Linked DNA regions of Nothobranchius furzeri. The protein of the gene in region 2 binds, or shares a complex with, the protein of the main gene of each other region. Links are inferred from orthologs where the notes say so. Each region holds a gene or a part of one and is shown on either strand. Other genes may lie near its edges.

Region 1 (16,055 bases), on a different chromosome or scaffold from region 2:
TCTAACACGGCGTCACCCTGGAAGGTGAGTTCATTCAGCTGATCAGAGGTCACCTCTGATGGCAGCAGTCACGGCCGACCGTGCTGACATCACACAGGAATTCAGGTGACCCGGCAGGCACCAGGTGCTGGTGAAAGTGGGGACATGTCAGCTGGTTGCCATGGCTACAGTTATCTTTATGCATCTGTATGACTGCTGACTGGTGTGTGTTTCCTGTGACCTTTGACCTCAGACCGTACGGTTGGGCGTTCAGACGACGGCTAACTTTAATTCCATCAAGGTAAGAGGAAGCTCTTCCCTTCCTGTCTGAGCGATCCGTCTCCAGGTTTCTTCGTCCGGCGTCCAGCCCGCTGGCGTCCACCTTCATCTCACCTTCATCTCATCTCACTTCATTTATAGTGCAATACTTTCACATTATCATTTTCCCACACTTCTGTATACCTGTATTTTGTTGTTTTTCAATAAAGAATGACAAATTATTTAAGTTTGGTTTTTGTTGCACACAAATATATATCTGTAAAAAATATCTACAAAGCTAATGTTTACATAACAAGTATGATTGGGTTTTGCAATACGGCACTCAAGTTTATTTTAGTAAGATTTTCAAACCAAGTAAAGTTAGTAAAGAACACATTTCTATTGTCTGCTAAGAAACTGTTGGGATTTAAAATGGGCCTGTTGTACAAATAACTTGTAAATGATTATTCCTCACTTTTGTCTTAACCAAAGAAATTCCAGTAATTGAGCAAAAACATTTATTTTTAACACTACAGTTTATAAAACAGGGCGCAAAGTGTCGGCACATGTATGTATGTCGATGGTCCGCCCCAACCAAACCAAGAGACACAGACGTCAGGGAGGCCAAGGTTGTCTCTGCAGCTCTCTGGGCACCACGCCTCACTCAGCTGTCTCCAATGATCCAAATGGCTATGGAGGAAAAAATAACAGGTTTGGCCTAGCTGTTTAAAGTACAAAACCATTCATGAAGTGGTCAAGACAAGTACTTGGTACTTACACTTGCTGCTTTGTGTAGCTGACGTTGGAGACACACAGGCTGCCATGGTGACCTTTTAATAGATCTAAGAAAAAAATGTAATAAAAGAATGAAACTTAAAAACTCCCAGACCTCATGTCATATTTACTAATCAGCTATGGCTGATTTGTTTGGATCACAGTGAGTTACACTAATTCTAATATATTTTTATTTCTATTATACATACATACTTTTTAACTGTTATTTTCACATGACTGTTATCAGGCTCTCTTGTTCTGGTTCTGATGATAACTCTGTCTTCCAGTAAGTTATCTTGTGCTTACTTCATCTGTAGAATGTCTCTTTACTTTTGGTAAATTGTACTGAGTCCAGAATAAAGGCTAGTTGGCTGTACAAGATACAAACAAGTATTACGTTTTGGAAATATATGAAACACCGCCAGCATCTGTTAGAGCCTGTGGCGGGGTGCTGAGGGCCGGCTCCAGCCCAGGAATGAGCTCTACACGCCGGCCGGGAGGGTTTCAAACACCGCCATCCTCTCCTCTGCTGGCTGTTCATTCTGTTGTGGTTACCGGTGCTTGTGTTGCAATGTGAAACGCTTGGTCTCAGATTTTGTAAGAAAGATAATAAAATATCCCCCCAAAATACGACTTAAATATATTTTCTCTTCTTCATGATACATTTAATGGCTGGTGCGACTCAGGAGTGATAGCGCCAAAAAAAAAACTACTGAAAACTTGCTCAAAGCAAAATGTTTTCATTACGGAAATAAATTATAAACTTACCGATTTAAAACTTTTTTAATACAGGTACTTCTCACGAACAGGTGCAGAAAACCTCCACCTAAACTCCGTGTAAGGTTCAGGTCGATGGGTGTTCCAGTTAGCTCCGGTTGGGTTGAAGCTAGGTGGCTACATCCGTTAGCTCGGCTCCCACCTCCGCTTTAGCTTTGGGTTAGCCAGGGTTAGCTTCAGGTTAGCTCGTAGCTAGTTCGCCTGGGTGTCGTCACTCGAGCCCAGCCTTACAGCCACACCCTCAGCGCCTCCTCTCTTCCCTTTTATAGAATTGTCTGGGCTGGACGGAACCTGTGACACGGTCAAAATGGCGGTGGTGTCCACCTCCCATTATAGACAACAAACGTGTTATTGAAGCCAATGGAATCCGTTTGTCCAGTATTTACAGTCTATGGTGATGACCTATGGAAAAAGTTCTGGCCATCTTAAACCCTAATAATATGTGGAGTTGTTGTTTCTTAACTAGCTGAATTTGCATTTGAATCATGTTCCTCCCTAACCCATGATAAATGGGTACCGATGCTCTGGCACAGCGCGTCGCCTCCGCCTCCCGAGGCGCAGGGGCTCATCACCTGCTGTCTTTTCCGAGGACTGCATTGTTACGACCTCAACCTGGTCTAGGAGGCAGGGAGGCCCAACACAGGAACGTGAGAATTTAAAAGGAAATGATCTGACACCAAGTCACAATCAAAGAAAGTCCTTTTATTAACTAAAAGCGTCCCAAAGGGAGAAAAACCTGTTTAATTAAAAGGGGAGTTTAACTTATGCTGCAGGAGACAAATGCTGAGGGCTTAAAGTAACTTAAAGAGCCATAAAATGAGAATGGAAACTCACTGGTTCTGAAAATGAACCAGGAACAGAAGCTTGCCCGGAGGCCTTACCAAAAGGTCCACTGGTGAACCAACTCACCCACACTACCGACAGCTCAATCAAGAGCAAGAGAAAACCCAGTCTTAACCCGAGGGTTTTCTCATGCGGGTTGAAATTAACCATCCGGGGCAACTATGGGTTCCCAAAAGTTCTCACACACAAAGTCCTCTCCAAATCCTCCTCTCCAGTCCTCTCAATCCGTCTCTCCCTCAGTCCTCTCCTTCAGCCTTCTTTCAGTCCTCTCCATCCTCTCTGTCCTCCTCGTCATGCAGTGCAGCGCTGATTTTATCTGCTCCAGCCGGGGGATTTTCTGATGCGCATCAGCTGCGCGAGTGTGGCCGGGTGCTCTCCAGGGTGCTGACCATGGTGCTGAAAAGGAGCGGAGTAGAAGCCGGGCGCTGGGGAACTCAGGGATCGTAACATGCATCTTGTCAGTCATTATCACGTGACAGTGACTAGTCGATGACAGGCATAAAAAGTCACTACAGAGCCGTTAACTTATTTATATGTTTATAGCATCTTGACCAACTCCACAGAGGATAGAAGATAACATACATGCTTACTCCCAACATCTGTTCAGGTCAAAACATGTTATATTCAATTCAAGTTCAATTCAAGTTTATTTATATAGCGCCAAATCACGACAAGAGTCGTCTCAAGGCACTTCACATAATAAGCATTCCAATTCAGGTCAGTTCATTAAGCCAATCAGAAATGTTTCCTATATAAGGAACCCAGCAAATTGCATCAAGTCACTGACTAGTGTGAGTGACTTTACAGCAATCCTCATACTAAGCAAGCATAAAGTGACAGTGGAGAGGAAAACTCCCTTTTAACAGGAAGAAACCTCCAGAGAATCCTGGCTCAGTATAAGCAGCCATCCTCCACGACTCACTGGGGATCGAGAAGACAGAGCAGGCACACACACACACACATACACACACACACACACACACACACACACACACACACACACACACACACACATACACACACACACACACACACACACACACACAGACAAAGTAATGTGTCTATAGTTATATTGTGATGCCATAGTAAATATTCTATTTGGTGAGAGATAAACTTTATTGTATTTATCCTATTGGATCTATAATTAAATGGATGAACTAGTAGTAGCACATCCAACATCAAGGAAAGAAAAAAGTTATTATCAGGAGAGGGAGAATGTTTTAGTGGTTAGCAGCAGTGTGCTAGATGGTGGCCCCCTCCATGAGGCCACCACAGCTCAGCAGAACATCATTGTAGCTTCTTCTGGGGAGAAAAACACTTAGAGAGAAAATAAAGTTAACAGCTGAAATTGCAGAAAATAATACAGTTAAAGAGCAGATTGTAGAAGAAAGCAGTAGAGTATGAAAAGTGGTCAGTGTATCCTCCAGCAGTCTAAGCCTATAGCAGCATAACTACAGAGATAACTCAGGATAATCTATCCTATTTAGATGGAGGCATGTTGGAGGCAGGGCAAGGGAGAGCCGTCTTTACCGACTGTACACTCCACCTCCCTCTACTCCCCCACTTGTCCAGATCTAGGCTAACATCAGATTTTAACCATAGGCCCTATCAAATAAAAATGTTTAAAGCCTATTCTTAAAAGTAGACAAAGTGTCTGCCTCACAGACTAAGGCTGGGAGCTGGTTCCAGGAGCCTGATAACTAAAAGATCTGCCTCCCATTCTAATTTTAGATATTCTGGGAACCACCAGTAGACCTGCAGTCTGAGAGCGAAGTGCTCAGTTAGGAACATATGGATCAATCAGATCACTGATGTATGATGGAGCTTGATTATTGAGAGCTTTATATGTGAGAAGAAGGATCTTAAAATCTATTCTGAATTTAACAGGTAGCCAATGTAGGGAAGCTAAGACAGGAGAGATATGATCTCTCTTTTAATTCTCATCAGAACTCTAGCTGCAGCATTTTGGATAAGCTGAAGACTTTTAACTACATTCTGTGGACTTCCTGAGAGTAATGAATTACAGTAATCCAGTCTTGATGTAATAAATGCATGAACTAGTTTTTCAGCATCACTCCTGGAAAGGATGCTTCTAATCTTAGCAATATTCCGAAGGTGGAAAAAGAAAATCCTACAAACCTGTTTAACCTGGGATTTGAATGACATGTCCTGGTCAAAGATAACACCAAGGTTCCTTGTAATGTGTTCCTTGTAATAATGTAATGCCATTCAGGTCAGGTGATTGGCTAAGCAATTTCCTTTTCTGGATTTCTGGTCCAAAGATGAGAACTTCCGTACTGTCTTGATTTAAAAGCAAAAAGTTTAGAGTCATCCAATTTTTTATGTCCTCAAGACAAGCCTGTAATCTATCCAACCGATTAGGTTCATCAGGGTTAATGGATAACTATAACTGAGTATCGTCAGCATAACAGTGGAAGTTTATCCCATGCTGTCTAATGATTTTACCAATTGGGAGCATATATATAGTAAAAAGAATTGGTCCAAGCACTGAACCCTGTGGTACTCCACAAGTAACCCTGGAGTATGAAGACGATTTGTCATGTACATTTACAAAATGAAATCTGTCAGACAGGTAGGATTTAAACCAGCCTAGCGCTGTTCCTATGATCCCTACAACATGTTCAAGTCTTTCTAAAAGAACATTGTGATCAACTGTGTTATATCCACAACAAGAATCGTTTGACCATATCAGCAGAGTGAAGGCATGTCCCTAATTTACGACATCACAGTTCAGAGGGCTAGAAGGCTGCCTGGACACACACACACACACACACACACACACACACACACACACACACACACAAACATGATAAGGGAAGGTAACAGGCCTTTAGCTTGGTTTCACACACACAGATTGAGGTGTAATCCAGACCTGTTGATTATAAAAATCAGGTCTGGAATTAACCCAATTCAGCACACTAAAACCCTTTTCCTTTCAGCCACTAAAAGTGACACAGTTTATAGTTCAAATTATATTAGTCACCAGATACCAGGAATTAAATATTTCGGTCGCACCTAACCTTTTGATACATGAATTATGAAATCTTCAGCCATGATTATCTAACAATTATTCTCATTCATCTTTGGGTGTGAATGAAACAAATTTCAACAAATGCTGTATTGTTTGTAACATTTAATAATTTGCAATTAATTTACTACATGTTCACCTCAGTGGACAGCGTGTATTCTGAACATGAAATATGTTGGCTGGACTTACTGAAGTAAAAATGGAGGGGCTCAAATGCAATAACGTAGAAACTGTCTATTGTAGTGACCATTTCGCATCAAGGAGTTAATTTTTTATCTTTATGTTCTAGTTAAGTAGCCTCAGGCCTCAACTGATTTGACCTTGGTGGCTCAGACAGAACACAGCAGCCTTCTGCATTTCTGAGGCAGGCTGTGCTGGAGGGTGATAGAATGGTATCTCATCTTGTGGCACTTGATGGGTTGTTCCGGCAGTTACGGGCTATATGTCCCCTCTTATGGCAGTTCCAGCAAATAACATCTCTGCCGTTTTGTAATTTTCTTCCTTGGCCCCTCCGCCTAGGGTTACGTCTGCCTTTTGTTGCAGAACCTGCATATGATACAGTGCCATCTGAGCTAAAGAATGTGTACAAACTTGTCTCACCAAATCTCTCAGAACTTGAGTAAATCGTGGATCCCCCCGATGTCAAGATCCTCACACTGACCCCCAGCGAAAGCACGGCGCCGGAGGAGATTTAGGTTGTCGCCAGTTTTCATGATCAAGAACTAATAAACATACATTTTTCCATAACAGAAGGTCCTTGAGACGACTCTGGTCCTGACTTGGCGCTGTATAAATAAACTGAATTGAAATGGATCAAAAGGAAAAGGTGTTTATTGCCTGGAGACGTCATCATGGTTATGGACTCCACAACACCTAAGGGCTCTTGGATACTTGGAAGAGGTATAAAATCTTTCCCAGATAAGAAGGGTCTGGTCCGTGTTGTTTGTCTTCAAACAAAACCCAATGTGACAGAAAGACTTAGAAAGTACGTCTGTTATGTGAAGCAACTAAAGAACCAAATACTAGTAAAATAATGAGTACATGAACCTTGGTTTACCCTTTCAAGCATACTGATAATGTGTTAGCGTCTTATTTTGGCTGCTTGTTTGTTAACTGCTACCTGTGTGTCCTCCTGTCACACGCAACTAGGACCCGATGTGTAGGGTTAGGGTCGGAGAACCACCTCTGCTTCATGCCTCTTAGCAACATTCTAGCAAAGTATAGCTATAAATACATTGTGTAGATTTAAAAAATGAATAAAACGGTTCTCTTGCATTTGTCTACGAACCTCCATCAGTTACACATTTTGGACCGAAACAACCAAACTAGCACAGGCCAAACTGAACGAGAGCTCTGAGCTCAGGTGCTGAGGATGCTGTAACTCCTGCGTGTCAGCAGCAGGGGGCGAGCTAATGTCAGACGGACTCATTCCATCTGCTACTGATACAGCAAACTCATCTTCTATCTATAACTTCACACCAACGAGGTTCTCCTCCACGTGAGGTGACGAAGATGCTGCTCTGATTCATGTGTGTGTGGTATGAATGAATCAGGGACAGTCTTCCTCCTCTTTCCTCCTCCTCTTCTGTCGTGACGTTTAATCAGGAGGAAACACCACAAACAGTCCTGAGATATTCTGGGTGATTTTACCCACAGCAAGAGTTCCTGTGTGTGTGTGTGTGTGTGTGTGTGTGTGTGTGTGTGTGTGTGTGTGTGTGTGTGTGTGTGTGTGTGTGTGTGTGTGTGTGTGTGTGTGTGTGTGTGTGTGTGTGTGTGTGTGTGTGTGTGTGTGTGTGTGTGTGACTCAGAAGGAAACCCCTCTGTGGACACAGGGAGGGATTACACAGCCTCAGAGGTATAACTACTGTCAGGGAGCAGAGAGGGAGACTACAGTGACCCGGTTCTGCTTACTGCAGCAGAACTTCCGGACCAACAAGTACCAGGACATCACAGGACCAGAGAGCTTCTGGACTAAACAAATCAGCAGCAGACCATCAGAACCACCTCTGCTCCTTAAACAGAATCCACCTCTAAATGGACCCAGGCCTGAACTGAAGGTTGCTTTTGAGCCCGTCTGCTCAGACTTCTAGACACTCTGTGGGACCTTCACCATCACAGAACATTATGTGTTCTTGGGTCTCCGTGTTCTTCTGGGCGCTGGTCTTCCTTCTCATGGATGCCTCTCCAACTGTCTCTACATCGTTGGACGTGTCACAGCAGCTCCAGAAGGGAGCAGCCAACTCTGCCTGTCCATCTTGCTTTCTGTCCCAGATAAAGACCAACTCCTCCTGGTCAGGAGGTCAGAGCGGCATGGTGGAGGCGGTGAAGCGTCACATCCTCAACATGCTGCACCTGAGCGCTCGGCCCAACCTGACACAGCCAGTTCCTCGAGCAGCTCTTCTCAACGCCATCAAGAAGCTGCATGTTGGTCGAGTGTCTGAAGATGGCAGCGTGGAGATCCAGGAGGACAGCTCAAGTCCCACATACTCAGCACCACCTGAACCACCATCAGAAATCATCACCTTTGGAGAGCCAGGTGAGCTCAGAAGTTCACAAAAGGTGGGGTTTGGATTTATCAGCTGGAGTCCAGGTCCAGGTCCCAGCATCTCAATGGGACAGGCAGACCATCAAACATCTGTGGCAGCAGGATGTGTGGACAGAAGGTTCCCTCACATTAGGACAAGTCCTCCACAGCTCAGAGGACATGTTGGACCTGAACCTGGTCTCTGATTGGCGATGTCTGAGTGTCTCTTGGGTAGCAGCAGCTCAGGAGGTAGACTTCTAGTAGAGAGTCACATTCTAGTTACTGGTGCTCTAGTCACATTCTAGCTACTGGTGTTCTAGTCACGATCTAGTTAATGGTGTTTTAGTCACATTCTAGTTACTGGTGTTCTAGTCGAGTTCTAGTTACTGGTGTTCTAGTCAGGTTCTAGTTACTGGTGCTCTAGTCAAATTCTAGCTACTGGTGTTCTAGTCACGATCTAGTTACTGGTGTTTTAGTCACATTCTAGTTACTGTGTTCTAGTCGAGTTCTAGTTACTGGTGTTCTAGTCAGGTTCTAGTTACTGGTGCTCTAGTCAAATTCTAGCTACTGGTGTTCTAGTCATGATCTAGTTACTGGTGTTTTAGTCACGTTCTTGTTACTGTGTTCTAGTCGAGTTCTAGTTACTAGTGTTATAGTCAGGTTCTAGTTACTGGTGCTCTAGTTACATTCTAGCTACAGGTGTTCTAGTCACGATCTAGTTACTGGTGTTTTAGTCACGTTCTAGTTACTGGTGTTCTAGTCGAGTTCTAGTTACTGGTGTTCTAGTCAGGTTCTAGTTACTGGTACTCTACTCACATTCTAACTGGTGTTCTAGTCACAATCTAGTTACTGGTGTTTTAGTCACGTTCTAGTTACTGGTGTTCTAGTCAAGTTCTAGTTACTGGTGTTCCAGTCAGGTTCTAGTTACTGGTGCTCTAGTGACATTCTATCTACTGGTAATCTAGTCACAATCTAGTTACTGGTGTTTTAGTCACGTTCTAGTTACTGGTGTTCTAGTCGAGTTCTAGTTAATGGTGTTCTAGTTAGGTTCTAGTTACTGGTGTTCTAGTCAGGTTCTAGTTACTGGTGTTCCAGCCATGTTCGAGTTACTGGTGTTTTAGTCACGTTCTAGTTACTGGTGTTCTAGTCGAGTTCTAGTTACTGGTGTTCTAGTCAGGTTCTAGTTACTGGTGCTCTAGTCAAATTCTAGCTACTGGTGTTCTAGTCACGATCTAGTTACTGTGTTCTAGTCGAGTTCTAGTTACTAGTGTTATAGTCAGGTTCTAGTTACTGGTGCTCTAGTCACATTCTAGCTACAGGTGTTCTAGTCACGATCTAGTTACTGGTGTTTTAGTCACGTTCTAGTTACTGGTGTTCTAGTCGAGTTCTAGTTACTGGTGTTCTAGTCAGGTTCTAGTTACTGGTGCTCTAGTCACATTCTAACTGGTGTTCTAGTCACAATCTAGTTACTGGTGTTTTAGTCACGTTCCAGTTACTGGTGTTCTAGTCGAGTTCTAGTTACTGGTGTTCTAGTCAGGTTCTAGTTACTGGTGCTCTAGTGAAATTCTATCTACTGGTAATCTAGTCACGATCTAGTTACTGGTGTTTTAGTCACGTTCTAGTTACTGGTGTTCTAGTCGAGTTCTAGTTAATGGTGTTCTAGTCAGGTTCTACTTACTGGTGTTCCAGCCATGTTCGAGTTACTGGTGTTTTAGTCACGTTCTAGTTACTGGTGTTCTAGTCAGGTTCTAGTTACTGGTGTTCTAGTCAGGTTTTAGTTACTGGTGTTCTAGTCGAGTTCTAGTTACTGGTGTTCTAGTCAAGTTCTAGTTACTGGTGTTCTAGTCAAGTTCTACTTACTGGTGTTTTAGTCACGTTCTAGTTACTGGTGTTCTAGCCATATTCTAGTTACTGTTGCTTTAGTCAGGTTCTAGTTACTGGTGTTCTAGTCAGGTTCTAGTTACTGGTGTTCCAGACACGTTCTAGTTACTGGTGCTCTAGCCACATTCTAGTTACTGGTGTTTCAGTCACGTTCTAGTTACTGATGTTCTAGTCAGGTTCTAGTTACTGGTGTTCTAGTAAGTTTTTAGTTACTGGTGTTCTAGTTACTGGTGTTCTATTCAGGTTCTAGTTACTGGTGTTCTATTCAGGTTCTAGTTACTGGTGTTCTAGTCATGTTCTAGTTACTGATGTTCTATTCACGTTCTAGTTACTGATGTTCTAGTCACGTTCTAGTTACTGGTGTTTTAATCGCGTTCTACTTACTGGTGTTCCAGTCAGGATCTAGTTACTGGTGTTCTAGTCAGGTTCTAGTTTCTGGTGTTCTAGTCACGTTCTAGTTACTGGTGTTTTAGTCAGGTTCTAATTACTGATGTTTTAGTCAGGTTCTAGTTACTGGTGTTCTGTTCAGGATCTAGTTACTGGTGTTCTAGTCATGTTCTAGTTATTGGTGTTCTAGTCACGTTCTAGTTACTGGTGTTGTAGTCTGGTTCTAGTCACTGGTGTTCTGGTTACTGGTGTTCTTATCAGGTTCTAGTTCCTGGTGTTTTAGTGACGTTCTAGTTACTGGTGTTTTAGTTATGTTCTATTTACTGGTGTTCTAGTCAGGTTCTAGTTGCTGGTGTTCTAGTCAGGCTCTAGTCACGTTCTAGTTACTGGTGTACTAGTCACTAAAGTTCTAGTCACGTTCTAGTTACTGGTGTTAAATCACATTCTAGTTACTGGTGTTCTAGTCAGGTTCTAGTTCCTTGTGTTTTAGTCATGCTCAAGTTACTGGTGTTCTAGTCAGGTTCTAGTTAATGGTGTTCTAGTCAGGTTCTAGTTACTGGTGTTCTAGTCACGTTCTAGTTACTGGTGTTCTAGTCAGGATCTAGTTACTGGTGTTCTAGTTACTGATATTCTAGTCACATTCTAGTTACTGGTTTTCTAGTCAGGTTCTAGTTACTGGTGTTCTATTCACGTTCTAGTTGCTGGTGTTCTAGTCACATTCTAGTTACTGGTGTTCTAGTCATGTTCTAGTTACTGGTGTTCTAGTGAAGTTCTGGTTACTGGTGTTCTAGTCACATTCCAGTTACTGGTGTTCTAGTCACATTCTAGTCACTGGTGTTTTAGTCAGGTTCTAGTTACTGGTGTTCTAGTCACGTTCTAGTTACTGGTGTTCTAGTCAGGTTCTAGTTATTGGTGTTCTAGTTACTGGTGTTGTAGTCAGGTTCTAGTTACTGGTGTTCTAGTCACTAGAGTTCTAGTCATGTTCTCATTACTAGTGTTCTAGTCACGTTCTAGTTACTGGTGTACTAGTCACTAGGCTTCTTGTTACGTTCTAGTTACTGGTGTTCTAGTCACATTCTAGTTAATGCTGTTCTAGTCAGGGTCTAGTTACTGGTGTTCTATTCAGGTTCTAGTTACTGGTGTCTTAGTCACGTTCTAGTTACTGGTGTTCTAGTCAGGCTATAGTTACTGGTGTTCTAGTCAGGTTCTAGTTACTGGCATTCTAGTCAGGTTCTAGTTACTGGTGTTCTAGTCACATTCTAGTTACTGGTGTTCAAGTCAGGTTCTAGTTACTGGTGTTCTAGTTACTGATATTCAGTCGCATTCTAGTTACTGGTTTTCTAGTCAGGTTCCAATTACTGGTGTTCTAGTCACGTTCCAGTTACTGGTTTTCTAGTCACGTTCTAGTTACCGGTGTTTTAGTCATGTTCTAGTTACTGGTGTTCTAGTCATGTTCTAGTTACTGGTGTACTAGTCACTAGGCTTCTTGTTACGTTCTAGTTACTGGTGTTCTAGTCACATTCTAGTTAATGCTGTTCTAGTCAGTTTCTAGTTACTGGTGTTCTAGTCACGTTCATTACTGGTATTCTAGTCACGTTCCAGTGACTGGTGTTCTAGTCATGTTCTAGTTACTGGTGTTTTAGTCACATTCTAGTTACTGGTGTTCTTGTCACATTCTAGTCACCGGTGTTCTAGCCACATTCTAATTACTGGTGTTCTAGTCACGTTTTAGTTACATTCTAGTTACTGTTGTTCTAGTCAGATGTAGTTACTGGTGTTCTAGTTACTGGTGTTCTAGTCAGGTTCTAGTTACTGGTGTTCCAGTTAGGTTCTAGTTAATGGTGTTCTAATCATGTTCTAGTTACTGGTTTTAGTCATGTTCTAGTTAATGGTGTTCCAATCATGTTCTAGTTAATGGTGTTCCAGTCATGTTCTAGTTACTGGTGTTTTAGTCATGTTCTAGTTACTGGTGTTCTATTCAAGTTCTAGTTGCTGGTGTTCTAGTCACATTCTAGTTACTGGTGTTCTAGTGAGGTTCTAGTTACTGGTGTTCTACTCAGGTTCTAGTTACTGGTTTTCTAGTCAAATTCTTGTTACTGATGTTCTAGTAACTGGTATACTAGTCAACAGTGTTCTAGTCACAATCTAGTTACTGGTGTTCTAGTCACATTCTAGTTACATTCTAGTTACTGTTGTTCTAGTCAGGTTCTAGTTACTGGTGTTGTAGTCAGGTTCCAGTAACTGGTGTTCTAGTCATGTTCTAGTTACTGGTGTTTTAGTCAGGTTCTAGTTACTGGTGTTGTAGTCAGGTTCCAGTAACTGGTGTTCTAGTCATGTTCTAGTTACTGGTGTTCTATTCAAGTTCTAGTTGCTGGTGTTCTAGTCACATTATAGTTACTGGTGTTCTAGTGAGGTTCTAGTTACTGGTGTTCTAATCACATTCGTTAATGGTATTCTATTCACGCTCCAGTTACTGGTGTTCTAGTCACGTTCTAGATACTGGTGTTCTAGTCACATTCTAGTTACTGGTGTTCTTGACACATTCTAGTTACTGGTGTTCTACTCAGGTTCTAGTTACTGGTTTTCTAGTCACATTCTTGTTACTGATGTTCTAGTTACTGGTATACTAGTCAACAGTGTTCTAGTCACAATCTAGTTACTGGTGTTCTAGTCACGTTTTAGTTACATTCTAGTTACTGTTGTTCTAGTCAGGTTCTAGTTACTGGTGTTGTAGTCAGGTTCCAGTAACTGGTGTTCTAGTCAGGTTCTAGTTACTGGTGTTCTAGTCAGGTTCTAGTTACTGTTGTTCTAATCATGTTCTAGTTACTGGTGTTTTAGTCATGTTCTAGTTACTGGTGTTCAAGTTACTGGTGTTCTAGTAACTTATGTTTAGTAACTGATGTTCTAGTTACTGGTGGTCTAGTAACTGATGTTCTAGTTACTGGTGGTCTAGTAACTAATATTCTAGTTACTGGTGTTCAAGTAACTGATGTTCTAGTAAATGATGTTCTAGTTACTGGTGTTCTAGTAACTGATGTTCTAGTTACTGATGTTCTAGTAAATGATGTTCTAGTTACTGGCATTCTAGTTACTGATGTTCTAGTTACTGATGTTGTAGTTACTGATGTTCTACTTCCTGGTGTTCTAGTTACCGGTGTTGTAGTTACTGATGTTCTACTTCCTGGTGTTCTAGTTACTGGTGTTGTAGTTACTGGTGTTCTACTTCTTGGTGTTCTAGTTACTGATGTTCTAGTTACTGATGTTGTAGTTACTGATGTTCTATTTCCTGGTGTTCTAGTTACCGGTGTTGTAGTTACTGGTGTTCTAATCAAATTCTAATTACTGATGTTCAATTCAGGGTTTAGTTACTGATATTCTAGTCAGTCATGCTCAGGTCAGACAGGTTCCATTTCTGTTCCCAATCTGTATGCAGATGGGAGAAAGTTTGTGTGAGAGTGAAACAGTCATGTACTTCCCAATTTACTGACAGAAATGTTCCTATTGATGTTCTATTAATAGTCATCCTTATCCTAAGAAATGTGTCATTAATCAGCTCTTCAGAGGGTTGTCAGAATTAACGAGCAGTGGGGGTGGGGGTGGGGGGGGGGCATTCCGTGTGGCCTCAGGCCGTGACTAAATTCTGTATTCATGCAAATCTGGGCCTCAGTAATTATTGCGGAACAGGGGTGGTTGGGGGGGGGGGGGGGGCTCTTTTTTTAGTTTCTGTTTTCATCAAATTTATTTAGAGGCTCCATTCATTCATTAATAGTCATTGTTTAAATACAGTGTGTGTGTGTGTGTGTGTGTGTGTGTGTGTGTGTGTGTGTGTGTGTGTGTGTGTGTGTGTGTGTGTGTGTGTGTATGATTATGTGTGTATATGTATGTGTTTGTGTGCATGCGTTTGTATGTGTATGTGTGTGCATGTGTTTGTATGTGTATGTGTATGCATGTGTGTGTGTGTGTGTGTGTGTGTGTGTGTGTGTGTGTGTGTGTGTGTGTGTGTGTGTGGTCTGTTGGTTGTTTTTCTGTTTAACACAAACACAAAATAACCTAGGGGAAAAATGTTTTGCTGCATCTCGTTTTACAGACTGTTTCAACATGTTTTTCTTCACAGGGCCCTCACCGAACTCTGTGACTTTTGACCTTCTTAAGGACACTGGCTCTGCTCTGGTGGAACAAGCTAATGTTTGGATCTTCCTGAAGATGTCAAGAGTAGATGGGGTCAAGGGAAAAGTGATGTTGCGGCTGCTGCGGACTCCTGATAATGGAGATCCTGATGACGAGTGTGTTTCAGAGAAGATGGTGGATGCTCGTCGCAGTGGCTGGCATATGCTTGCTATGACTCACAGCATTCAGTCTCTGCTGGACAGAGGCAGCAGCTCCCTCAACCTTCGAGTTTCTTGTCTGCTTTGTTCCAAGGTTGGAGCTTTGCCCATCCTCGTACCAGTGGGGCGGGATCAGTCTCATCGCCCATTCCTCATGGTGAAGCTAAGAGCCGAAGAGGAAGAGTCTCTGAGGCGAGTCAAACGAGGTCTGGAGTGCAACGGGAAGATCCACATCTGCTGCAAACGACAGTTTTATGTGAACTTTAAAGATATTGGTTGGAACGATTGGATTATTGCTCCATCTGGTTACCATGCCAACTACTGTGAGGGTGACTGTCCAAACCACATGGCCAGCATCGGCACCTCCACGCTCTCCTTCCATTCAGCAGTGATCAACCACTACCGCATGAGGGGCTACGGCCCGTTCCAGAACACCAAGTCCTGCTGTGTGCCAACGAGGCTCCGCGCCATGTCCATGCTCTACTACAACGAGGAGCAGAAGATCATCAAGAAGGATGTTCAGAACATGATCGTAGAGGAGTGTGGCTGCTCCTAGAATGTTCCTCTGAAAACTTGAGCAGAAATAAAAGCTTCCCCAGGTCCCGAGTTTGGACTGCAGAGATGCTTCTCCACATTGGAATGAGCAACATGAGCAGCAGGACCTGCTATCAAACTGTCTCTGACATATCAAAATGGATGAAATCCCACCATCTCCAACTCAACCTCTCTAAAACTGAACTACTTGTCATCCCAGCAAAACCGTACAGCACAATATCTCAATCCAGAATGACTTCCTATCTCTGGCTCCTTCAAAGGCAGTTCGAAATCTGGGTGTTGTGATTGATGAACACCTGATCTTTAAAGATCATATTGCCTCTGTTGCCCGTTCATGCCGCTTTGCGCTGTACAACATACGAAAGATCAGACCATACCTAACACAACATGCCACCCAGCTCCTGTTGCAATCTACTGTCATCTACCGCATCGATTACTGCAATGCCCTTCTAACTGGTCTTCCAGGCTGTACTGTGAGACCTCTTCAAATGGTCCAGAACGCAGCGGCGCGTCTGATCTTCAATCAGCCAAAAAGAGCACAGGTCACCCCTCTGTTCATTGAGCTCCACTGGCTACCGCTAGCAGCACGCATCAAATTCAAATTGCTAACACTAGCATACAAAGTCCGAGATGGTACGGCTCCCATCTACCTGAATCCTCTTGCAAAGGCTTACGGCCCGGCCCGGCTGCTCCAGTCATCACA
Region 2 (15,990 bases):
AATGCTATTGAAACATGTAAACCAAAAAGCATTATATCCACTGCTACCTTTCTAATTTTAAACTCAGTAACTTATGCTGTAACTTCACCTTGCCCTGCCTGCTCCTTGCTGCCCGCCAGCTGTATTCACAAGCGACAACATAATAGTTCCCGCTGCTTCTTCGGGAAACAAAAAATAAGAAAAAACTTGGGATCTTGTAGGCGTGGCGGTGGGATTTCAGCTGTGGCGGGCCGCCACGGCTAAGCCTATGTAAGGGAAACCCTGGTATGGTCCAATAGTTGCTTTTGGTCTGAAATGTGTCATTGGTGGAGACAAATGTGAGAGAACTACTTCATTAGTCTTTTTCATTTTTTTTTAATCTCTGCAGTATATTTATAGCTATACTATGTTAGAACGTTGTTTAGAGGCATGAAAAATGTTTAGGCTACTTTGTTTTCCAAATTTGCTATAGCAGCTTTAATGAAGCGCAACTGAGATCACTTTTCAGGTTAGGTTTGCAGCGCAGCAGAGAAGAAGTGAACCCACCAGATCAGTTGTGCTGCAGAGATTTGTAAAATAATAATATTGGTTATATGAAAAAAAGCAGAGCTGCTCTCACCACGTCGATGTAACTTTACACCGGCGTGCAAGAGGATCAATGCCTGTGTGAAACTGCTGCAGTGTACAAAACAGGAGGCCAAACGGAAAGACGGCGATCAGAATCTGAACCATCGGACTCTCGTACACAAATACAGAACAAAACAAAACAGCTGGAAAGAAAATACTTCAGTTTGCTGTTTCAACTTTAACTGGTAGTCAGTTGGTCGTTTGACAGGCATGGCTTTACTGCTAGTTTATGGAACAAAGTTAGCATAAACATCTCATAGGAAACCGAATGAGCAGAGTTTCTCTCAGCTTTCTGAATGTGACGGTACTGACAAGTGTGCACTGTAAATATTTACCCGTTTGCAGTCGGACCTCACGTAGAATCTGAGGCAGAGGTGGCCTATCAAACAGATCTAATGTCAACACCAGATTATCAGTTCCTCGAAACTTAAACGGGCCTTTCTGTTTTGAAGGAGCAGAAAGATCACAAAGACGCCCGTAACCAGTAAAGCTGGAGCCAATCCTGGACCCCTGATCTGTTATGGGAAACAGACACAATCCAGTGTGGACCTTTTTTTTATATTTTTATTACTAGAAGTAACCCCCTTCTTCTCTTCAGCAATGCTGCACCTGCTGTAAAACAAATGATTCTAGTCTTCTGGATGAAAACATGATGGACCCAGCATATAATCTGTCTTTACGTTGTTTCAACAAACTTTAAAAGCTATTAATTGAAGTTGATGCACGTTTTTCCGGTCTGTCACTGTGAAAGGTCTTTGAAGGAAGTTTTGTCTCAATTCGGTGTAGTGCTGATTTGTGACGATGACGTCAACAAACTAAATTGTTGATAATTAATTTAATAATCAACGTTGTTTATTCTATGAAGCATTGCTGTCTTTTGATCTTGCCTGCTGCGGTACGTTCTGCTGCTTTCTGCTCAAGGCACATGTGCAGTAATGACCAGCTGTGTCAAGCCTAGTTTAGACTTCTCTGTCCGCGTCGGGACTGAGACACATAACGTGGGTGACGGAGACATGCCCAAATTTTTTTTATTTCCTTCAGAACAGACGGAAATGGCAAGCTTGTGATTAGGACACAGCTTTCTGTAAATTCATCAACAGCATCGTCTTTGTCGCTTCAAAAAACAAAAAGATATTTAGCGGCAGATAGGGCTGCAACGATTCGGCGATGTTGTCGACAATAGCAATTGTCACCAGACGTGTTTTTTCCGACCGAGTGAGGCATCTCACTTCATTACAATCTCTGCCGAGAGTCGCACATGCGCAATATAGCTTCTCTGTTGAGCGCCAACTAACAGAAATGGCGGCGTCCAAAACAGCAGCTACGCATACCAAAACATCAAAAGTTTGGGAGCATTCTAGCCTGGATTCGGCGAATAAAAAGACTACCTGTATTATTTGCAAAGCAGTCCTTGCACATCATGGCAGCACCTCTGTGATGCATGAACACTTAAAGAGAAAGCACGTCGGACAGTTGAACGAAACAGAGTCTGACTCAACTCAGTAAGATTTAAATATCACAAAAGCAACCATGTTTTGTTTTGGATGTACATTGTACATTTTTAAACATATTTTCGTTATTTAAAAAAAAGAGGGATTTAATGTTATGTGGGACTGTGCCTGACAAAAATATTTTAATTTTATTTATGCATTTATGTCTATACTGACTGAGCACTGTGCCTAATTGGTGTTAGACAGGGTCATTTTTATTTTCTTTTAGTATGAATCGGCCTATCAGCAGAAAAGTTCAATAAAATATGCATTTTCCATTGAAGTACCCATCTTTCTTGTGTTTATTATCATTTTTCACATAATTAAAGCAATCTCATGCTAAATTTAAGAAAAATTTTATAATTATCCAATTAGTCGACTAATCGTTTCAATAGTCGGTGACTGGTCGACTTTTAAATTAGTCGTTAGTTGCAGCCCTATTGTAGAACAAGAGCGCTCTCTTTTAGCTCTGTAACGTAGCGAGATAAAATAAATCATCAGCGTTTGTAACATTAGAGAGAATACGTGACATACATACGTGTTCTAAACATGTAATCGCCAACACTACAGTTGTTGCTACACCTATGATGCTAGCAGCTAACAAGAGGTAAACTTACAGAGGCGACTCTACGATCTCCGCAGTCACGTACTTGCTTTTAAAATGCTCGTGCATCGCCGATGTGCTCCCGTGAAATGAGTCTGAACTCTACTTCTTCTCAGTTGTTTTAATAAAATGCTTCTCAACCTTTGAGCTCCGTTGCCGACTCGCTATGATGAGTTATTTCTCCGGTGATTCTGATCCAAACACTGAGCTGGAGTGGCACTACTGCGCATGTGCCTCGACATATGTAAGCCGCGGCTGACACGGACGGCGACTAGTGAGCAGAGAGGCAGGAAGCAAATGCCGAATGTGCCGCAGCAGGCGAGATTTTAAACATGCTCATACAATAAACTGTGTCAACTATTTTTTTTGCCGACGATGTCATGACGCGTCGACTAATCGTGGCAGCCCTAAACAATAGTAGTGGTGATTTTATTACCTCCAACACAAATATAACGTATTTGCTATAACATTACCAACACTGATGATTTATTGCATCCTGCTAGGGTTGCACAATATATCAAAAAATTATCGTCATCGGGATAACAGGACGTGCGATAGGCCCATCGCAAAGCACGTCAAAAATGGCGATAAATGTTTGGTTCAAACATTTCCATCTGTGTCATACATCAACTTTTTGTAAACCAGCTGTTTTTACGCGGAAGTATTATTTGACTAATCAAATGTAGTCCTTCTGATATGCGGCCAATCAGATGGGTCCGTTCACGTAATACGCCCGCCCCTACGTAGACCCTTATGGAAAGCAACACCCGAACTGAGTTTAAGCGGCGCCGTTCCCTTGTTCGTCATGCTGGCTCAGAGCAACGAACGCACTTTGTGCTGAGGTTTCTGGAATCAGCGCTGCTTTTAAACGTGAAAAGTTCCCCCACACATCAAAGTGATTTTTCATTTATGAGCTTTTATAAACTTGTTAATCAGGATAGTTGATTTGCTGCTGCACATAAACTGTCAGTCAGAAGCTCTGCTAGCCGGTTATCTGAGAGGAGCTAGTTCAATTTGTTAGCTTGTTATCAGAATCATAGTTGCAGTTTCATCATCTGAGCTGCTTTTTAAGATCTAGGTAAACTTGTTCAATTTGGGGTTAAAAACAAACGTTTTCACATATTTTCCATGTAGTTTTTTACCAGTTCCTCTTCTGAAAGGTAGACAATTGTTTTTCTCTTTCCCTCAGAAAATCTTAATGTCCTCCTAGTTTGGCCCAGCACAGTTCACTTCCCAATTACAGCAACAGCCTTAAATCATAACCACATAAGTGGAGAAAATGTTTTATTTCTATACATGTTTTTGCTGTCAAACTTCCATAATGTCCCTTTAAGAATATTAATTTCTCAGTGAACTGTGTAAAAATATGTTGTAAATTATTAAATATTCATGATTAGAAGAGCTCCGCTGTAAATAAAAAAAAAGTTTAGCTTATTTTTCCCTATTTTGCCTCACAATAAAAGTAAAAAAAAATGTAATGTTTGCATTTCAGAGGCTGTATGACTTCATAATCTGGTTGTTATCAACAGACTTTGACTTTAAATAAAGAAAAAAAATGGCTAAACTTGCATTTTCTGTGTACAAAGTACCCATCTTTTAGGTAAACATCAGAATATGTGATAATTTTTTTTTTTTTTTTTTGCTGCACTCAGAAGTAGAGCACCTGAGAAAAACCCTCCCTGGGCCAAGTGCTCTGCCCTCATCAGAGGGTTCTTGGTGTCATCACAAACTCAGCCAATTCAACTTGGATTTTGCAGTGAATTATTATTCTACTTCAAGTGGAAACCATTCATTTCCCCACTTCAGACAGTAATGAGCAAGTAGGATAATCATCTGCTGCACTCTGCAGTACAGTCAGCACCTGGCTCACACTCGGAGCCGCCCTGACTATTACCGAATTTGAGAAACCTTTTCATTTTTACCCAAAGGCTCAAAGACACTCCAGGGCTCACAGTGGAACTATTCTACTGCTACTTCAGAGCGTATTTCACGTCCTTCTGCAGCTTTTATACCGAGTTTTCCCTCTCCTTGGACACTTACGCCATGTCTTCCAGGCTGCTCATAAACCAGTTTTGTTTTCTTGCACAAACATGCAAACCCCGGTGTGGAGCAGACAGAAATCTGACTGAAACGTCATTCTCCACTTAACTTGAATGCTTTCCTGCACACAGCCACCGGAGAAAATCGGCCCCCAGGCCTTATCTTTGTTTTGCAATCTCTGCTTAGGCAATTCCTGTCTCCAGTCAAATCATCAGATAACACAAACTGCTGCTATCAAAACTGGAAGTTTAAAATCACCGGGATGAAATTTGGCACCTTCCCGTCGGCAACTCGACGACCCGACCAGGTCAGACAAGTCAACACACCCCGTTCGGGTTCCGAGGAACGACAGATTAGCCAAAACCACGGGGGTTTAGCTTTGGCTTTTGTAAAACACACTGGAAATTAATTTTTAAAAACACTCATTTCCTCTTGGCACAGAGGCTTCAACAAGCATTTCCTCTCAAATATCTAGCGTGCAAACCAGTAGAGGCAGATCCGCTGGTCACGCCACCTACGTTCACATAGACAGCACCTCCTGGCCGACCTTTTATCACCTTGTTGACACAGATGAAATGCTTGCCATCATGGAAATGGGGACGAGTCACTGAAATATTTGCTAGAAATTACTTCACTGCCACTACAATGTGTGAATGCAGAACCAGTTTATCTCAATTCTGCTATGGAAATCAAGCTGTTGTTGTGTTTAGGTCACAAAAAATAAACTAATAATAAATATATAAATATTAATAATAAATAATCCTAATGTGTTTGGATTATTTGGATGTTTTGTTTGTTTTTTGTGGAAAACAATAAGTCTGTAATGTGGTATTTTGGTTAGAATGCTGCTGACACATATCGGAGGTGTGTTTAAAATGCACTGATTTCTTATTTATTTTTGTACATTTCCCCGGGCTGCATCGAAAACTGGCCACCAAAAATATTTGGCTGCAAATTACCCAAATATGCCTTTCCGGTCGAAAGACCTAAATCACCAAAACAACACGGCCAAAATACGCAATCAGGTTAACCCCATTTTTGTTACATGTCCCTCCGACCTCTTGAGGCAACTTGCTCTTTGCGTCTTCAGTTGTAATTAATTTTTAGTAATGCCGTTTTTTTATGATAGTTGTTTTATTTCAGTTTGTTTTGGGCATCATGAAAAAGAAGTGAAGCGGCTCTCACGTGATCATTTTAGACCAACGTGATAAACAGAAATGCAACATGGCAGTGTAGTCAGTGTCCGAATTAGTGCCGATTTTTTTTACGGATTTTTCATTTTTATTCTTCTCCGCTAACTCTATATGGACACATGAGCCACAAAAAGCCAGGAAAAATCCAACATGGCGGTCTGATATAAAATCCTGGCTGCTACTCTGATTCAAAAATTCATACCTAGAAAAACCTAGGTGGCGCTATTGTGAAGGTCAATACGTTTTAGCAAATAACTCCCAAACCATAGGTCTTACCTTCAAAAGCGTTTTAATATCCTTGATCCTTGGATGATTCTGTATTTTTTTTGTATTGGCCACACCCATTTCCGCCTAACTAAATTTTTGCTAAATGGCAATAAACACGAAGTCTAGTTTTAATCACTAATCCGTTGTTTTTCATCAAATCAACCTGAAACTTTGTACATTGATCTATTGATGGAGAGAAGTTGTTGTTATGAAGAAATTTGCAGAAATATTGAAAATTGGGCTAATGACACAATGTCAAATCCAGTGCGTTAGCTAGCACATGCCCTAAATTACGATACTGTCAACATTTTTCAAGATCAAATGATGAAACTCTAGAGTCTTACAAAGTGTGATCTGTAAGCCATATGTACCTAATTTTGGTCTAATTCACCAATAGGGGGTGCTAAGAAATCAAAAAGTTTTTTCCAGCTAAACGGCTTGATGGATTTCCACAAAACTTGGCACAGATATTTATCATCGGACCCTTAAGCCATATACTAAAAATGATTACAAAGTGGGCGTGGCTTATAGGCTTTAAAAAAAATTTGCCCTTTGACTCATGAAAAATATATATTCTATACAGAATTTAACAGATCATATCCATAATAGTGTCATCTACAAACACATATATTTTTTTAAATGTGTCCATTGGGTGGCACTGTTGTACCCAAAAAATGCTTTTGGTAGTTTTCTCCAAATGTCTTCAGTTTAGAAACAAATTTTGTTATCCTGGGTGTTCTTTGAGTCTATCAAATTTAGACGAATATTTAAAAAAAGTTTTACACGTATGCAAATTGGTAGAAAATTGCATAATATGTCAAACATACTTTCGTTAACTCCTCTTGGCCGTCAAACTCAATTAAGTAAAAACTTTGCCTGACAAGATAGGACGAGTGGATGACCAAACGATGTGGATGGATTTTTGATATTTTATTTAGTTTAGGAAATTTACCAATTTAAAATATATATATATTTTTTTTTTTACTGAAAAAGTTTTTGGGGTAAAACTTTAAAAGATTTTGACATTTTTCAAAGCTCTTCATAACAACAGTACCAAGGTTTTTACTGCATTCAAATTTGCGTGGCGGCCGCCTCCAGCTAATTTTGTGCCGCCCCAGCTATATGGGTGTTATTTTAACTGCAGTTGCAGCGTTGCGCCACTACAGGGACGCAGTATCAGCAGCGGTGCACCAAAAAAAACGCTGCAGACAAAGAGCAAAAATTGCTTTTCTCGCTAGTTGGTAAATATCTATGGTTGGTGCTGTTGACGTCCTGATTGTCCCCCAGGCTCTTCCATATCAGAGCAGGGCTGTACAGAGCGACGAAAAAACTGTGCGTGTCTTGTCTATTTTTAGACGTAGCACTGGTGCAACATCTTTAAATGACTATTTTCCCCAGAACTTTGTTGAACAAAAGTAAGTTACATGTAAGAAAAATGCTTTTTACTGGCGCACAGTGTGGTCATCTGGATGCAGTGGAGGAAAATACAGGAACCAGCAAAGGCAGAACCGGTCCAAAGGTTGGGATCAAAAGTGCCGCTACACGCAGATTGGCTAATGCTAAAGCTAACGGGTAGCAGTCTCACGATCAAGTGGCGCACAAAAAAATATATGATGATCGTAAAACTAGGAAAGACTAAACTATACAAGTGGATGAAAAGTCCCCACCATCTTGTTTATTCTGCATCCTGCAGCGCTACGGATCAGAACCGCTGCAGATTAGTCACATTACTGCTACAATTCTACGGCAATGCATTGTAGTATATAATTCACAGAAATCTCCATCTTTTAACATAATTTAAACTGGATTATTGCCAACCCGTACATAATAGACATGCCACCATTACATTGTTAGCAGCAGAAATTAAATGTTATCACCATTTACAATACAAATGCATGTTAATGAAATGCATTATATTTTTCTGGATATATTTGTGTTATTTTGACTAAGATGAGTGTTATTAATACAAACCTAAAATGTTACTGAAATGTAGGTCGAATTTTTAAAAATATTTTAACTATAAATATCAGACGGGAAAAAGGGAACTAAACATCAATCTAATGCATATTATTGAGCCTTTTATAATATTAATAATTAAATAATAATAAAAGGGAGTTTCCTCTCCACTGTCGCTACATGCTTGCTTGGTATGAGGATTGCTGTGAAGTCTCTGACACAACAAGTCAGTGTCTCAATGAACTTTGTTGTGTTTTCTTGTGTAGGAAACTCAGTGCCCTGTTTGATCAGGTTTTAGACATAACTGGTGTGAGCAAACCATCAACTTGTGTCTTAAACTTACGATACACTAATTAAAAAGAAAACTGACCAATTTAAACATAAAAACAACTCATCCTTACGAAACAAAAACAGGCAATTGCTTATTTATAGATTTACAAGATAAATCAGTATCAGCTGGTCAGAGCTGTACACAAATCTGAAATCTAACCCACAATACCAGAACATGCGCATCTCTACTAAAATACGTTGGAATGTGTTTTACTGCAAAAAGCACATGTTGTTCAAGTTACATTCAGACTCATGTCATGTGCTTTTCAACAGGAAACCAGAAGTAATCCCAAACTTTTGATCTTGTTTTCTTGCATTTCCAGTCTACAAATCCAGTCTCCTTACGAATCACACTCATCTGATGTCAAGACGTGACTTTTGATCCAATTATTTACTCTACAATCCCCTACTCTACACAAGTCCTCTCTAGTTTTCCGATTAACCTAAACTAAAGCCCAATTTGTACAAGCCTGCTCCACTCAGAGCTCCACAAAGGCCCCTTGAGAGCCTGCGGCCCCATCTTGAGCGGACTAAATATGCAACATGCACAATCACACAAGGAGGCAGCAAATAAAGGGCACTAATAAGAGAGGCTGCAAGTGAGTTGCTTTCCACCCTTCCCACAGGGATGCATTGCAATACACATTGCATTCTTTGCACACAAGAACATGCAGCGCATTGCACTCTGCAGAGGTAACAAGGAGCACTGCATTGGATTCCCCTCGGCTGACAATGAACCATGCACAGCCCCTCCACACCCACCTGAAGAGCAGGAGATGAGGAAAACGGCGATGGCCAGTTTTGTAGCGTCTCCCATTTTCCATCCGAATCTGATCCTCTCGCTGTTAAGGTGATTTAAAAGCACTCCAAACAAAACAAACCTCAAAAAAGACAATAGTTGGATTACATTAAATGTCTTGCTGCTTCAAGGAGCACCGTCTCTGGAAAAGAAGCATCATTAAAAGTCCAAATCCAAAATATTCCAGGTAATGTAAGCCTTAGGAGTCAAAAAAAAAGGACCAGGATGAAGAGGAGATTTCCAGGTTTACACACAAGCAATGGAGGGCGACTTGTTGGCACCAGGGCAGCCGTGTACTTGCAAGCTCTGCAGCATTGTTATGAACAGATCACTTGAGCCTGATAAGTTATTTTCAGAACAGCGGCGCAGAAAGCCGAGCCACAGCCGAGCAGGGCTAACATCCATCGGACTTGAAATCAAGCGCACTCCGCTCTCTAATCAAACTTCTCCTCGGTGAGCTCATTAGCATTGCTGTTCAAACGTCAAAATGTCTCAGAGATACACATCCACACCTTCTGAGCGAGGAACGCGGAGGTTTAAAGCGTTTGTTGTCGTGGTATTCCGTGTGGAAACGTCCGCTCGGTCCGGCGGGGCTGGCCGGCCACAACCACACAGCTCAGTCCGCTCCAGCTAGGACGGCAGCGCGGCTCCCGATGGTGAGATAGTCCGCTCCAAAGTGACTCAAACAACCGCGACTGGTCACGGTGACTCGAGTTATCAAGTCAAAACGCTCCTTAATAACTGAAACAATTCATTTGAGCGCCGTACTGGTACCGCGTTCTGGACGAGCAGGATTTTCCAAGTCCGTCTCCTCCACTGGTCGGGACAATTTCAAGATGGCGTCACTGGAACTTGTCAGGTCAGGAATGCTGGCAAGGCAGGCTTCCGGCAAAGGTTTTCAAAATAAAACACTCACGTTGAAGTTTGATTTCATTTCAGAGTGATTTTTTTTTTAGTTACATTTTGACATTTAGCTGTCGTGATCTGGTAATATTTTCCAACATGCAGCAGCAAGGTGTTGCACTCTGCTTTTCAGCATTTAATCTGGATCATTTGTGAAACAACACCAACAAAACATCTAGCAAATGGATTAAATCAGTGTTGTTCCTTTAGTATTTTTTTCCCTTTCAGCTTGTCGGGTTAATTAAAGCCAATTAGGTGATGTATTTGATTTAATCGTTTATTTATCTTCCACAAATAATTTCAAATCTAAAAGTGGCAATCAAAATTTGTCAGTGTTTTTTCTTTTTATGGTTGTAAATGCCTTTGTCAATGTGTAAAAAGTAAATCCGTTATTAGATGGTGAGAGTATTAAATGTTGGTAAGTCAAAAACAATCTAAAGGTAAAAACCTCCTACTGTTGTTTCATTTTTAAATGACAACGTAGCTGTTGTTTTTATTGTAGCTCTATTTATATTCAGTGTGTGTTTTTGCTGCTGCTGTGACGTGAGAAATTTCCGTTGGAAATCAAGTCATAACCAATTTTAGCTTTATTTTGAAGGTCAAACATGTAAACATCCTGTAGAAAGGTTGCTGATTTTGCTCAGTTTACTAGAGCGGCTTTGCGAGCTTAGGGATTGTTTTCGTTCAGGAAGGTTGCTTGTTTTACTCTCCAGAGTGTCCCGTTATGAAAAACACGGGTGGTCAGAATGGTTATTTAAAAAACACAGACTAAATCATAATCAAATCCTTATTCTATATGGTCACAAAAGGATTCCAACAATGAGTTGTATAATTTGTATTTAAGCTATGGTAAATTAAAATGGTTTATTTGCAATTTTTTACCATAATAAAACAAACCTCACGAACAACATGATGTGAGTGTGAATCAGACACCAGATCAGCTCTATAACCTGTTGTAATGATGTTTTTGAGGATCAAACTATATATCTGATTTCCCTTCAAGGACATGTATACCGTCAGGCTATGTGCTACTAAAAGGTCACATATCAGGTATCAACATGCGGCTGGGAGCAAAGTAATAAATGTTGAGAATGCCATGAAGTATCGGCTTGGCCTGGTTCCAGATCTGTGTGGCACTAATCTCTCTAATAGCCTGGAGCAGATCTCCTACTATAAGCGCAGCTGAACGATTAGGAGGTCAAAGGTCTCGGGGGATTTCTCCACCAAACTGGAAGCTGAGTCACCTGTTCTATGTTGGAGCTTTCATCTTCAGCAAAAACACACGACCCACTATCAGAACCAGTGGGATGGATGGGTGGAGGGGTTGCACAGGCCCGGCGAGGGGTGCAGAGGTCCCCCCCCGAGCACATATCTGAAACAGGGAAACACATCCGCTCTGTTTCTGGAGATGTTAACGGTGATTCTGATTTATCTGATGCTACAAAGGAGTTATAAAATACTGATTATGCATCAAGACACTGGGAGCACAGCTGCAGTCACCACTCCTTAATCAGATTACACTCCTCAGAGGCTTTTATGGCGTCACAGGAAGTTTTAGCTTTAACTATAGCTGCATGGTCACCTTCTACACCATCTATTGGCCTTACTTTTGAGGGATTTTCTAAGCTTCTTTTGTTTTTGTTTTTCCAAACCAGAAGCACCAACATTAGTTTGTGATCTTTTATTTAAAATAAATAATAAATCCCAAATTTTTGCACGTAACCTCATCAGTTTGGACCACAGCCCTCAAACATCTGATTCATTTAGCCACGATAACAGAAAAAAATGGTCACAAGTTCAAAATGGTTTTCTTTGAGTGGGGAAGACCTTCAGTTCTGCTCCTGGAGATTTATTACCCAACAAAATCCCATTACTCCTCTATCAGATGCCAAATCTCCTCTAATGGCATTACACGTGCCCGAGTTACGTATGGTGATGCTTGCTAATGAGAGCTGAGCTGATGCACCTTACTGGAACCAATGGACCTCGTGCACAGAGTAACCCCACAGTTCTGTGGCTTAATGTACCCAGTATTGAGTGTCAAAGGAAGTCAAAAAGCAAGTTGCTCACAGAGTGCATTGGATGCAACGAAGGATGTAAATAGTTCTAAAGCTGTGTGAAATGTTCCTATCTGAGGATTTGTGACAGGTGACAGCGAGAGCTGCAGGATTGGGAGCAAGTGGACACTTTAACATGAATGATGAATGGAAGGATGGAGTTTCTCATTCAGACCACAAATCAGGCTGCACAGCAGCATCTAAAGAGTCTTTTTAAGTAGGAAATCCCAAAGATAGGAACTGATTTACACCAGAGGAGTTAAAATACATGAGTGATGAACAGAAAGCACCTGAAAAGTTTATTTCATGAGAAAATATTGTCCTGTTTATCTATTCCCATCAGTACAAGGATTTATATAATTACTTTGTTTATTGGGATGAAAATTTGAGTTGTTTTTTTTTTCTAGTTTTTTAATTCCTTAAACCACCAAAATACAAATCATGGTATGAAACAGAGTCATGACAAAATCAAATTTAATCAAATTTAAGAGAATTATTGAAGATAAAAAGAAAGAACAACTTAAAAATATAAAGCACAAATAAACAAAAACATTTGAACAAGTTCTTTACTGTCAGCCAAATGAATAAAACAATTTATTCATGAAAACAAATATATAAAATATGTGGTAATAATCAGTGTTTTTTATGTTTTACTGTTTTAATATTTACATAATCATCCAAAGGAAAGATTACAGATTAAAGCCTTTTCACAAAACAGTATTATCAAAGAAATAATAATAATAATAATAATAATAATAATAATAATTATTATTATTAATATTAATATTAATATTGTTATTATTATAGTAATGATAATAATAATTATTATTGTTGTTGTTGTTGTTGTGGTCAGCCTGTTTGTTAGAGCTTGCTATTCAAACGTCTTCAAAGAGTGATTTTATTCCTGGAGCTCAGATCAAAAAGAACAGATTACTTTTAGGATGCTGAACATCAAAACAAACTTGTTTAAACATATTTCAGCAGTTTAAATGTTCAGGTATTAAGATACTTCCCGCTCTCAGCTAAGCCTTATCGTTCCTTATTTCCTTACAGCTTTAAATCACAACATGTTCACTCTATGTAGGAAACAGGAAGTCAAAACTTTGTTGTAGTTTTTCATCTGCTGATAAATGAAAATTAGCAACAGTAATACTTTAACTGAAAAACAAATGCTGATGGCTGTTTTCTTACACCTGGTGTGACTATGGAAGTCTGGCAGATCTTTGATCAGTTTGCATTTCTTTCTTTTATTTTTATTAGTTTATAGAAAAAAGTGACGTTTCTGATCTACAACCATCAGCACAATATCAGTCTTTACCATCGACATAGAAATATTGGACAATGGGTTTCCATAGCCTCCAATAACACATTTTTGAAGATAAATGGGAGGTGGCCACCACCGCCATTTTGACCGTGTCACAGGTTCCGTCAAGCCCAGACAATTCCACAAAGGGAAGAGAGGTGGAGCTGAGGGTGGGGCTGTAAGGCTGGTATCAACTGACGACACCCGGTCGAACTAGCTACAAGCTAACCTGAAGCTAACCCAAAGCTAACGCGGAGGTGGGAGCTAAGCTAACGGAGGTAGCAACCTAGCTACAACCGGAGATAACTGTGCACAACACCAGAGCTTCTGAGTCAGAGATACGCCGGGCTGACCGCTGGGTAAAACCGGGTGGAACACAGACGTCTCCCGAGAGCTGCACAAGCTGGCAGCCCGCGCAGCAGACAAGCGCCGCTGCGATCTGAGATGCGTAGAGCTGTCGCTGGGGAGAACCGGGTGGAAAGGTTTCCATCCCAGAGCTCCACAAGCCGGCGGCCCGCACATCAAACAGAAGCCGCGATCAGACAGAGATACGCCGGGCTGACCGCTGGGTAAAACCGGGTGGAACACAGAGGTCTCCCGAGAGCTTCACAAGCCAGCAGCCGCGCAGCAGAAGAGCGCCGCGGCGATCAGAGATGCGGTGAGCTGCGGGGAGGGGACCATACCGATAGTCGGAACCCAGCTCCACCAACATGTTATATTTCAACCCATTTTCTAAAGTGCAGCATTATGTTAAATGCACTGGGTTTTACCCTATTACATTTAAATTTCATGGTTAAACAGTACATGTTAAAATCTAAGCTCAGCTCGGCAGTGACCTAAAATACATAAATATAATTTTACTTACCGAAAAAAAAATGAAGTGGAGACTCCTTGGACGCTCTTTTAGTGCAATTAATGCCACAGCAAGTCATTTTGTCCAACAATTGCACAAATAATATCCAAAAATGAACGCAAAAACGCTACAACTAAGTTCAGAGACTAAAAATCGCGGAACAGTTTTCAGGCGAGGCCGAGGCTCAGACTGAGGCTCTACTGAGGCCTTTCCACGGAGCTAGCTCTGTGGTCACGTGGGTCTGATGCTCATTAATTATACAGAATTTTAGGCTTTTAATACACAAACAGAAGAGTGAGAAAAACATTCACCCCCCTCAGAGTTGTCATGATTATAAACTAGATCATTTAAACCAAAAACATGTTTTGGTACCAGGCTGTAAACATGTTTATTTCTGCTGTGAAATTGGTATTTTTAACATGGGAGTCAATGAGGATTTGCTCGCTTCTGACACCAGCCCCCAGTGGATGAGGGTGGAACTGCAATTTTTGTCACTTCCGCGTTGGCCTCAATTTCTGTCCCGCATTGTGGGGCTTGGTCTTTACCCCTTACCTGTTTAATATTCCCAGGTTTCTTAGACCTCTATCTATTTAACAGGATTATTCTGTTCGTCAAAATTCCACTCCACTGATTTTTCTACTTGTGGAATGGTTTAGTAATGTGCCAACAAATAGTCTTTACTGTTCTAATATTGTACATAATTTCCTCGTTAAACGTTTCCAATAAATGGATCAATTTGTCAGCCTTTAAAGGGTTAACACAAGGATTAACTCTCCTGAAGAATAACTTATCGACCGTTAGAATTTTATTCTAATCTGCTTTTCTAATAAATGGACTTTGTGTTCATTTTGTTTAATTTGAAATGACAGTGTGTAGTTTCCCTGGCACCAGGGGGCAGTACATCCCTAAATCACTGCAAGCAAGCGGTATTTTTGTGTTTGAGTAAGACATTACCAACGGAGGGCCTTTAGGGTCAAACATCCCTGGGAGCACAACCTCCAGCAAAGTAACAAGAACCTCAGACTCCCTTTCATCACTGGCAATGAGTGAAGAGATCAATGTGTAAAACAAAGTTTATGATGGCAAAAGTTTTGTAACAGTTTGATACAAATCAGTTAATGCTTGTTGTCCTCACGGGCTCCCGTAGAAAAAAAAACATGGTGTCTAATATGGCGTCACCCATAGACTAACGCCTGATTTATACTTCTCCGTGAGCTCCACAACAGAGAGATGCACAGAAAGTGTTGGAAAGGTTATTACATGCAAACCTCTGTTCAGGCAGCAGAGTCTTGCAAAGCAATTCACCGCCAGGACAACAGAGGGTGCAGCGCTGTTCTGTGGTATCATGCCATGATAACATTCATGTATCTGGTCCCCGATAGTTCATGTTTATTCATTTCGCAGATGCTTTTATCCAAAGCGACTTACAATTTATAACCTATAGGGCATGATAGTGTATTCACTAATGTGTTTACATTTTTCAGAGACTTTATATCGCGGACAAATTAGTCCTTTATTCTCCTTCACCTCTTCATGCACCTCCAAACCCGCATTTCCCGTCGTTTCCGTCCATGTTTGCTCTGTTTTTT

The links.
Region 1: the proteins of activin receptor type-2A (region 2) and inhbab are in contact, whole or in part, in a crystal structure (PDB 7U5P), measured with the Homo sapiens proteins. The link is inferred for Nothobranchius furzeri from reciprocal best matches to the Homo sapiens genes ACVR2A and INHBA. Residues at the interface, in NP_001265508.1 of Homo sapiens: Asn36, Asp53, Lys56, Phe61, Thr63, Lys65, Val74, Lys75, Cys78, Trp79, Leu80, Asp81, Asp82, Ile83, Asn84, Val100, Phe102; in NP_002183.1 of Homo sapiens: Ile340, Ala341, Pro342, His346, Arg397, Pro398, Met399, Ser400, Met401, Leu402, Tyr404, Asn409, Ile410, Ile411, Lys412, Asp414, Glu421.

Annotation. Positions count from the first base shown.
Region 1 is NC_091751.1:34,010,709-34,026,763, reverse strand, and holds inhbab (inhibin subunit beta Ab), read left to right. Parts: upstream 1-7,625; 5' UTR 7,626-7,804; coding exon 7,805-8,216; intron 8,217-14,586; coding exon 14,587-15,353; 3' UTR 15,354-15,556; downstream 15,557-16,055. Other genes in the region: spectrin alpha chain, non-erythrocytic 1-like, read left to right, coding at 1-24, 233-310. UniProt on the Homo sapiens protein: Inhibins/activins are involved in regulating a number of diverse functions such as hypothalamic and pituitary hormone secretion, gonadal hormone secretion, germ cell development and maturation, erythroid differentiation, insulin secretion, nerve cell survival, embryonic axial development or bone growth, depending on their subunit composition.
Region 2 is NC_091743.1:85,749,657-85,765,646, reverse strand, and holds the start of activin receptor type-2A, read right to left. Parts: upstream 9,534-15,990; 5' UTR 9,304-9,533; coding exon 9,249-9,303; intron 1-9,248. UniProt on the Homo sapiens protein: On ligand binding, forms a receptor complex consisting of two type II and two type I transmembrane serine/threonine kinases.